Linked DNA regions of Bombyx mori. The protein of the gene in region 1 purifies or fractionates together with the protein of each later gene. This does not show direct contact. Links are inferred from orthologs where the notes say so. Each region holds a gene or a part of one and is shown on either strand. Other genes may lie near its edges. The genes, in order: N-sulphoglucosamine sulphohydrolase and formylglycine-generating enzyme.

Region 1 (3,938 bases):
TAATATTTCCATGTTGTACGTTGTTCTGTGTATATATAATAAAGTATTTTATTCATTATGCAATAAAAATACCTATATATTTTTCCAAATAATAAATTTTATAGAAAAAATCTTTATCTTATTTCCTCTTCACTCGAAAATGTTCAAATAAATACATTAAAACAATTACAATCAAAGATTTAAGATCTATACATATTTGATTGTTGTTGTTATAACTAGTGATATATTTGTTTTTTATATAAATTAAACAATAAAGCAGATAAAACAAACACAGCCGTAATAGTATGTATAACGGGCATATTATTATTTAATTAATCTTCTAAAAGTCAATAACAAGACAATTTCAATTTAATAGGTGAATAGTCCCTTATTTTACTACACTGAAGTAGGTTAACATCAAAATATATTTATATATACTTCTTTCATTTAGATGGGTAAAGTTCATGGCACAACCTAGTATCAAGCAGTAAATATAACCCTTGAACGCTATTAGTTGCCACCCATCTCGAGACACAACAGTGGACTTTTTGTATTGTGATATAGTTGTCAAATAGAAACAAATAATGTCATCATCGCTAAAATATACAAGACACTTAACTACATGGGTTCAAAGTGTATCGTACATCATTAATTATGGACATTGATTGGTATCTGCCTAAAATTTCAATCATTTCATAGCTTTACTCATTTTATGCACACTGGGCAAATTAATCATTTGTGTCAATAAAGATGATTAATCTGTAATTTCTTCTTGCAGAATGTATATATTGGATTGCTACAAATAAGTTAATTTTCTTTTACCTATCTTTTCCTTTTAGATCCAATTGCTAAGTCCCTGAGTAGAAATAAACTGGAGGAAACTTATATACAAAATAAAATTTAAAATAATATTATATTTGTATATAAAATAACACTATTCCACATTAAGACATTTTTTTACTTGCATTTCAGTGTCACTTGGAGATGAGACTCTGTGTCCCACAGTCCTAGAGTCATTGTAAATTTCATGATCATTCCCACCAGGGTCTGTTTTGTCTCCAAAGAAGTGAATTTCAGCAAAATTCTCACTAGCTATGTGATTTAAGCAGTATGTCTTGTCCCATCCAATTGGGAACACATCAATACTGATTTGACCTCCTAGAGCAAACTTTAAACCCGAGTCTTTGAACTTGCTTTGAAGTGCTTCAACAAATTGGTGCCTAACTTTGTGTTTTGAATCATACTCAGAAAACTGATCTCGCTCTATTTGATTACATGATCTTCCAACAGGGCAAATATTAAGCATACTTGATCGGAATTCAATGAAATTACCTCTCTTGACTGGTAATTTGATGTTGGACATGTAACCCATGGCGAAGTTTATTACCTCTTGCAGTTTTTGTTCACCCAAATGGTTAACTATGCTCTCTGAACTTAATTTTTTTCCGTTCTTATGATGCACCAGTCCATTTTCACTGAATACGTAGTTGAAATTGGACACGACGTCCTCTCCGCCCATTTGTTCGGAAATCTTCATATAATCTGAACCACTGACCAATCCTACATCCACTTTTGATTTTACCTCGTCAAGAATGAACCTCCTGAATTCTTCTGTAATTTTTTGGCGCGGTTTTGTCAACGTTCCGTCAACATCGAACAAATACAAAACTTTCTTTTGACTAGTCATAATTGTCTCAAAAGGTGAAACTAGTTTGAATTTTGGTGGCAATTTTGGACCGGTCGATAAGTAGGACACCACCAGAGAACATCAAGTGCCAACACTTCACTCAGACACGTCAAACCGTAACAGTAAACACCAAACTTCAGTACAGAGAACTGATAAACTTTAATAATGCGAGTTACCGGCATCAAACTTGCCCTTATCTTTTATTTTTTCATTACTGAAACTGTATTATCTGATAAGGTCCGCAATGTTCTTTTACTATTAGGTGAGTCAGTTTAATATCTTACATTCCAACGTAAGCTTTTTAGTTCAGAGTTCGTGTTATTTATTGATTGGTTTTGGGTCAAGCGAATATTTGAAAGCTTCAACCACGTAGTTTGTAACATAGATAATACACATAGTCACATAATATTAATCTTTGGATTTTTCATTAAAAGTTTCACGCATCTGAATTAAATCTATGCACATTAAAATTATACTTCCTTATAAACGTTTTTAATGTGATGTGAATGCAACTTGTATTTTTTTTAGTTTGGCAAAGTCTTCTTCCGATACCATTGTTACCAGCGTAGTGTTTATAATACACTCAATTACTATACAGGGTGCCCTACAATGGGTTTTTCAAGCCGAAACATGGTTATATAGTTCATATAATATATAATTCATATAATTTAGTTCACTTTAAAATGTTAAAAACATTCTTACAAAAAACTAATTTACTAATTATTTCAACTGTTCGATGACAGCCCTGACAACAGAAGTACCGCTAGGTCGCTCATTCAGTTAAACGCGTCAAAACGAGATAGACCTTATCATGTTCGTTCAACTTATTTCAAACAATGACTACAAGCAAAATTCAGTTATCTTCTGAACCACAGATGTTTAGTTAGAGGTTAATGATGTTGTCAGAGGGAGATCCGAAGCTCAACAGTACATTAGCCAGGGTGACACCAGAGTTACGAAAAGTATTAACCTCTTTTTTGGGAGGGTTGTTTGTGGAGTTTTAACCTCGAGGGATGGACGAACTCATGGCCCACCCGATGTTAAGTGGTCACCAAACTCCACACATCGCATCAATGCCGCCGCCATATCGAGTTAGAACGGCTCTCTCACCTTTCAAAACGAAACGCATGACTGTTTCGTGGCATAAATATGCAGGGTAGTGGTGCCCACCCGTGCAGGCTCGGAAGACGTCCTACCATCAGTAATAACGTAAATTATAGTTTTTGTGGGTTTGATTCTTATTATATGATGTTATTCCATTACCGTCGATGTCATATGTGAGCATTTGTCGAATACCTACGTATTTCATCAGAAAAATTGGTACCCGCCTGCGGGGTTCGAACACCGGTACTGTCGTATCGCTCGACACGAATGCACCGGCAATCTTAACCTTTAAGCCACGATGACTTCCTAAAATAAGGGTGCCGTTTATAATAATTTATGATGTATTAGTACTAGTAGCAGTAGCTATGAGTAATATAAAATCGATGACAACGACAAGCTATGTTTTCTATGCTCAATGTTTTTTCTGTTTAATTTATAGCGGACGATGGCGGTTTTGAGATAGGCGCGTATCGCAACAAAATATGTCAAACGCCGAATATAGATGAATTAGCGCGAAACGGCCTGTTGTTCAACAATGCATTCACATCAGTGAGCAGTTGCTCCCCAAGGTAAGATACACGCGAGAAACGAAGCTCCTTCTAAAGTGTTAATATTTGGTGTCCAAGAAGCACAAATAAATATACAGCAATTTATGTAGCGTGTAACAGCAATACACAGACTGAAGCAGACCGATCTAATAGAATGTGATTACAGTCAATATACACACCCTTCAAACCGAAACGCATTACTGCTTCACGGCTGAAATAGGCAGAGTGGTGGTACCTACTCGTGCGGACTCACAAGAGGTTCTACCACCAGTAAACCTGCATGGATAAACACCGCTATTTATTTATAAAAACTTTCTGCAGGATATAAAAAACAAACAAAAGTTGTTTAATGGAGTTTTTTTTTCTCGACGGATTAACAGTCGGGCAGCACTCCTAACTGGGTCGCCGAGTCACCAGAATGGAATGTACGGGCTGCACCACGGCGTCCACCACTTCAACTCCTTCGACAACGTGACCAGTCTGCCGAACTTACTGCGCCAGAACGGAATTATGACGGGTGCGAATATTTCTTTTTGTTTTTTTTCCTACCTAAGCTGATAGCCCTGAGAGGATATTTCAGCGTAACCTTAACTAGTAGGTCAGCTTACGGGGCTCAAACC
Region 2 (3,938 bases), on another chromosome or scaffold:
ATAGGGACAAAATCGACCTTCAGATTGAATTTTAAAATAGTTCCAATTAAATAGTCACTGCTCAACGAAAGAAATAAGTTGAGTCTTGAACGTACCTAGGTGATAAAAACCGTTACATAATTTTAATTATTCATTTTAAAGAAATAATCGGTAAAATAATGGTCGTCCCAATTTACCCAGCGTCCGGGGTAAATTGACACGGTTAAGGGTTAAATTGGGATATTTGTAAGGGTTGTCAACTCGCAGTACTGCGATATATAGGTAGGTGCCATATAATTATTTATATGGACCGAAATGATGAATACAATCCATAATTTAAGCACAATACACAACATAGTGTAAATTAAGCTGGTTTCTATTCCGAAGCGATGTGACGTGAATGATAATCAACAATACAATGATCAAAAAACAGTATGTGCATGTTATATTTTAGAAAATTATTAATTATTTCCTTAAAAATCACAACTCTGAAACAAAATGATAAAATAGAATAAAAAATAGAAAACAAAAGGACTGGAAATGCAATAATACAATTTTATTTAATCAACATTTTCAAAATAATCTTTGAGCAAGAGTAAGATATCAGGTGAATAAGTTAAAAAACAGCTTTATCTGATTACTGCCAATAATAACAAAAATAAAAGAAATTCTTTCTAAGCTAAATAACTAAACTCAATTAATTCACTCACTCATAATTGGATATCTCGGATTTTTAATTAATGTTACATTTAAAATCTGAGGCCTGTTTTTATTTGTGTGTGCGTTTTGAATGTTAACAAAATCATGATTCGACGCGTGAATAGATTCTGAAATAACAAAAGTTTTGATTCGTTTGAGTTCTTTTAACTTTTAATTTTTTTTATTGCTATAAAGAACATACGACCGGGCAGATTTTACAAGGTAAATGTCGCGAAAAAAAAGTAATTATATATATACTTTTATTTTACCTATAATACTTACATAAACTAATTGATAAACACATTAACCTTCTTTACATCACGCAATTAAGTGATAGTATAGGCTAAAAAATCTATTATAAGATATCAGTGACAACCCTAACAAGCCATCCCTATTTTGTCTTTTGGCGTTCCAATTTTGTGTTTTCTCGTCCCTAATTTTTCCAGTCTCGTTCCCAATTACCCTACAAACGTCCCAATTTTCCCCAAAAAGAAAGGAAAAAATATACATTTTTTATTTTGTCGAAATATTGTATTTAAAATAAGAATATTGCAACTTACCGTTTGTTGTGGTATTTCCAGGTGTATTAAAAACTTATATAAACTGTGATCTTATTGAAAAAACAACGATAATATTACTTTTTTTTAAAGTTCTTTAAGCTGTTTTAAAACGCACTTTTCAACCACTATTTTCAATTTAATTTGACGAATTTTTGGGACCAACTTAACTCATATTTAGTACTTGCATAGTTAACTTGGTTTTTCTTCTATACATTGATAAATATTAACATAAACAAAATTAGGTAGATTCCGTGCTACAGGTACTTTGAGAATCTTCCGCAGGTTTGTCCCAATTTACCCCAGGATCCCAATTTACCCCATGTCATGGTACGTGCCTACTCCAAGGAACGGCGGTCAGCGACTCTCGCATATTTACAAAACAATTCATGACATTTCACACTAGTTATACATAACTGAAAAGTAGACCATTACTTTCATCTTACCTGTTTTTCTTCAGTATTGCACAAATGAAATGCAACTCCTTTAACTTAAACGGCTCCAAGTTTTAAATTAGGTCTTGTTGTTATTGAATTAATAAATATGCATCTATCTATATGCCTTGTTTGGCTTACACAAATTATCTTTCCTTTGGTCGGAAGTGATTGTGGCTGCAGTGTGAATAGAAATGGAGAAAAAGACCGAAATAATTTATATTCAGGCAATAACAATGAACAATGCTCTGTTGAAAATATAAGTGATAAAGTTGAAGATGAACAGCGGTCTAACGAAATGATGGTATTAGTGCCGGGTGGGGAATACCAATATGGAACTGATGACATTGTAATTGAAAATGATAATGAAGGACCAAAGCGAATTGTCAAAGTTAAAAGTTTTTTTTTGGATAAGTATGAAGTATCAAATCAGGATTTTAAACACTTTACTAGAGTTACAAATTATAAGACTGAGGCAGATATTTTTGGAGACAGTTTTGTGTTTGCACTTTTTCTGAATAATACCTTTAAAGAAAAAATCAAAGATTTTCGAGTTGCCCAAGCTACTTGGTGGTACAAAGTGTTTGGTGCCAATTGGAACCATCCTTTTGGACCCGATTCTAGTATAACAGGTAATTTATTAATGTAAAAATATACATGTTAAGAGGAATTATTGCTTGTACCTAGTTCATAAATAGGTATTCTGTTGTCTCCACCATGAATAATAACATTGCAACCTAATACAATGTTAATGCAATTCCTTGCAAATTATAAGTCCCTATATTATATCTGGTGTGGGAGGGATCTTACAAAATCTATCCAATCACATGATAACATGTGAAAATATGATTTAGACTGACATCAACTGTAAGTATTAGGAGTCTTATCAGTAACAGTAGACTTACATGCAATGATGATGAAGTTGATACTATTAACAACGTCAATGATGATGATGATTGTGATACATTTTAAACAATATTCTGTGTTTAGATGTAATGGATCACCCAGTTATACATGTATCCTGGAATGATGCGAAAGCCTATTGTAAGTGGAGAAGGGCAAGACTACCTACTGAAATAGAATGGGAAGCAGCATGTAGAGGTGGACATCAAGACATTAAGTATCCTTGGGGAAATAAGCTTTTCCCAGAACGACAATACAAGTAGAGTTAATTAATTAAATAATAATATATTATAATAATTAATAATTTTATGTTAAAGGGCAGTATTTTGTAGGCAGCTGCTTTGCTGTGCTCTGGCATTGCTGATATCCATAAGTGATGGCGACTACACACCATGAAGTGGCCACCTACATACAATGGCAATAAAAAAAATAGAATTTCTAAGACTGTTACTATTCACCTTAAAAGTTTTATTAGAGCCTCAAAAAATTACTAGTAGGGCATATTTTAAGCCTGCATGGGTACCATTCTCTCAGTTTGTTTGCCGAGTGCTTTGTGTAGAAGTTGGTGCAGCAGCAGCAACAATTCTATTAAGACTCACCTTGTGTACCATTTAAGAGCAACAGCAAGGCAGTAAGCTCACCACCGATCTATACAATAAATATGTTTTTACATTTAAAACAAATTCATCAAAACTGGCCCCACATAAAGTGAGCTAAGGGCAAGAATAAGAAGATGATTTAAAGCAAATCCACCAAACTTTGTATCTAATATATTATAATAATATGTTTCTCTTCTTTGTTCCGTTTTGTTGTACAAACTTTTTTCCCCTCAGGGCAAATATTTGGCAAGGAACCTTTCCACATCATAACTCTGCCAAAGATAATTTTGTTGGTACAAACCCTGTAGAATTATTTCCTCAAAACGATTTTGGTCTTCATAACATGGCTGGAAATGTTTGGGAATGGACAGAAGATGCATGGACTGAAGATGATGTAAGTGAATTATAAGTACAGTCAAATGTCAAAACAAATATATAAGGTTTTATTGAAAGTTATGAAATTGATTATATGCAACATGTGACTGAATAGGCAGATACAAAGTTACTTTTTCTGATGTTGGGGCTAGAAAAATTGTGAAAACTTCCTTAGAAGTAAAAAGAGTTTTGAATGTTTGGTATGTAAAATCATATCATTTCTTAAAACTTGGTACACATGAATTCTGCGTATTGATGTGTAGCAAGCAATGTAAAATACACAATATTCTCTTAAGAACCTCAAAGAAACTGTAATATATATTGGGAAATTTCTTTTAGATAATGTTTTGTATAATTTTAAATAAAAAAACTTGATACATCTGAGTTTGTTC

What was found.
Region 2: the proteins of N-sulphoglucosamine sulphohydrolase (region 1) and formylglycine-generating enzyme purify together in Homo sapiens (co-immunoprecipitation; 3 studies listed by BioGRID and IntAct, with this or other methods). This does not show direct contact. The link is inferred for Bombyx mori from reciprocal best matches to the Homo sapiens genes SGSH and SUMF1.

The regions. Positions count from the first base shown.
Region 1 is NC_085123.1:826,244-830,181, forward strand, and holds the start of N-sulphoglucosamine sulphohydrolase, read left to right. Parts: upstream 1-1,785; 5' UTR 1,786-1,831; coding exon 1,832-1,928; intron 1,929-3,209; coding exon 3,210-3,339; intron 3,340-3,698; coding exon 3,699-3,835; intron 3,836-3,938. Other genes in the region: phosphomannomutase 1, read right to left, coding at 914-1,666. UniProt on the Homo sapiens protein: Catalyzes a step in lysosomal heparan sulfate degradation.
Region 2 is NC_085128.1:6,668,603-6,672,540, forward strand, and holds the start of formylglycine-generating enzyme, read left to right. Parts: upstream 1-1,547; 5' UTR 1,548-1,778; coding exon 1,779-2,301; intron 2,302-2,659; coding exon 2,660-2,831; intron 2,832-3,405; coding exon 3,406-3,565; intron 3,566-3,938.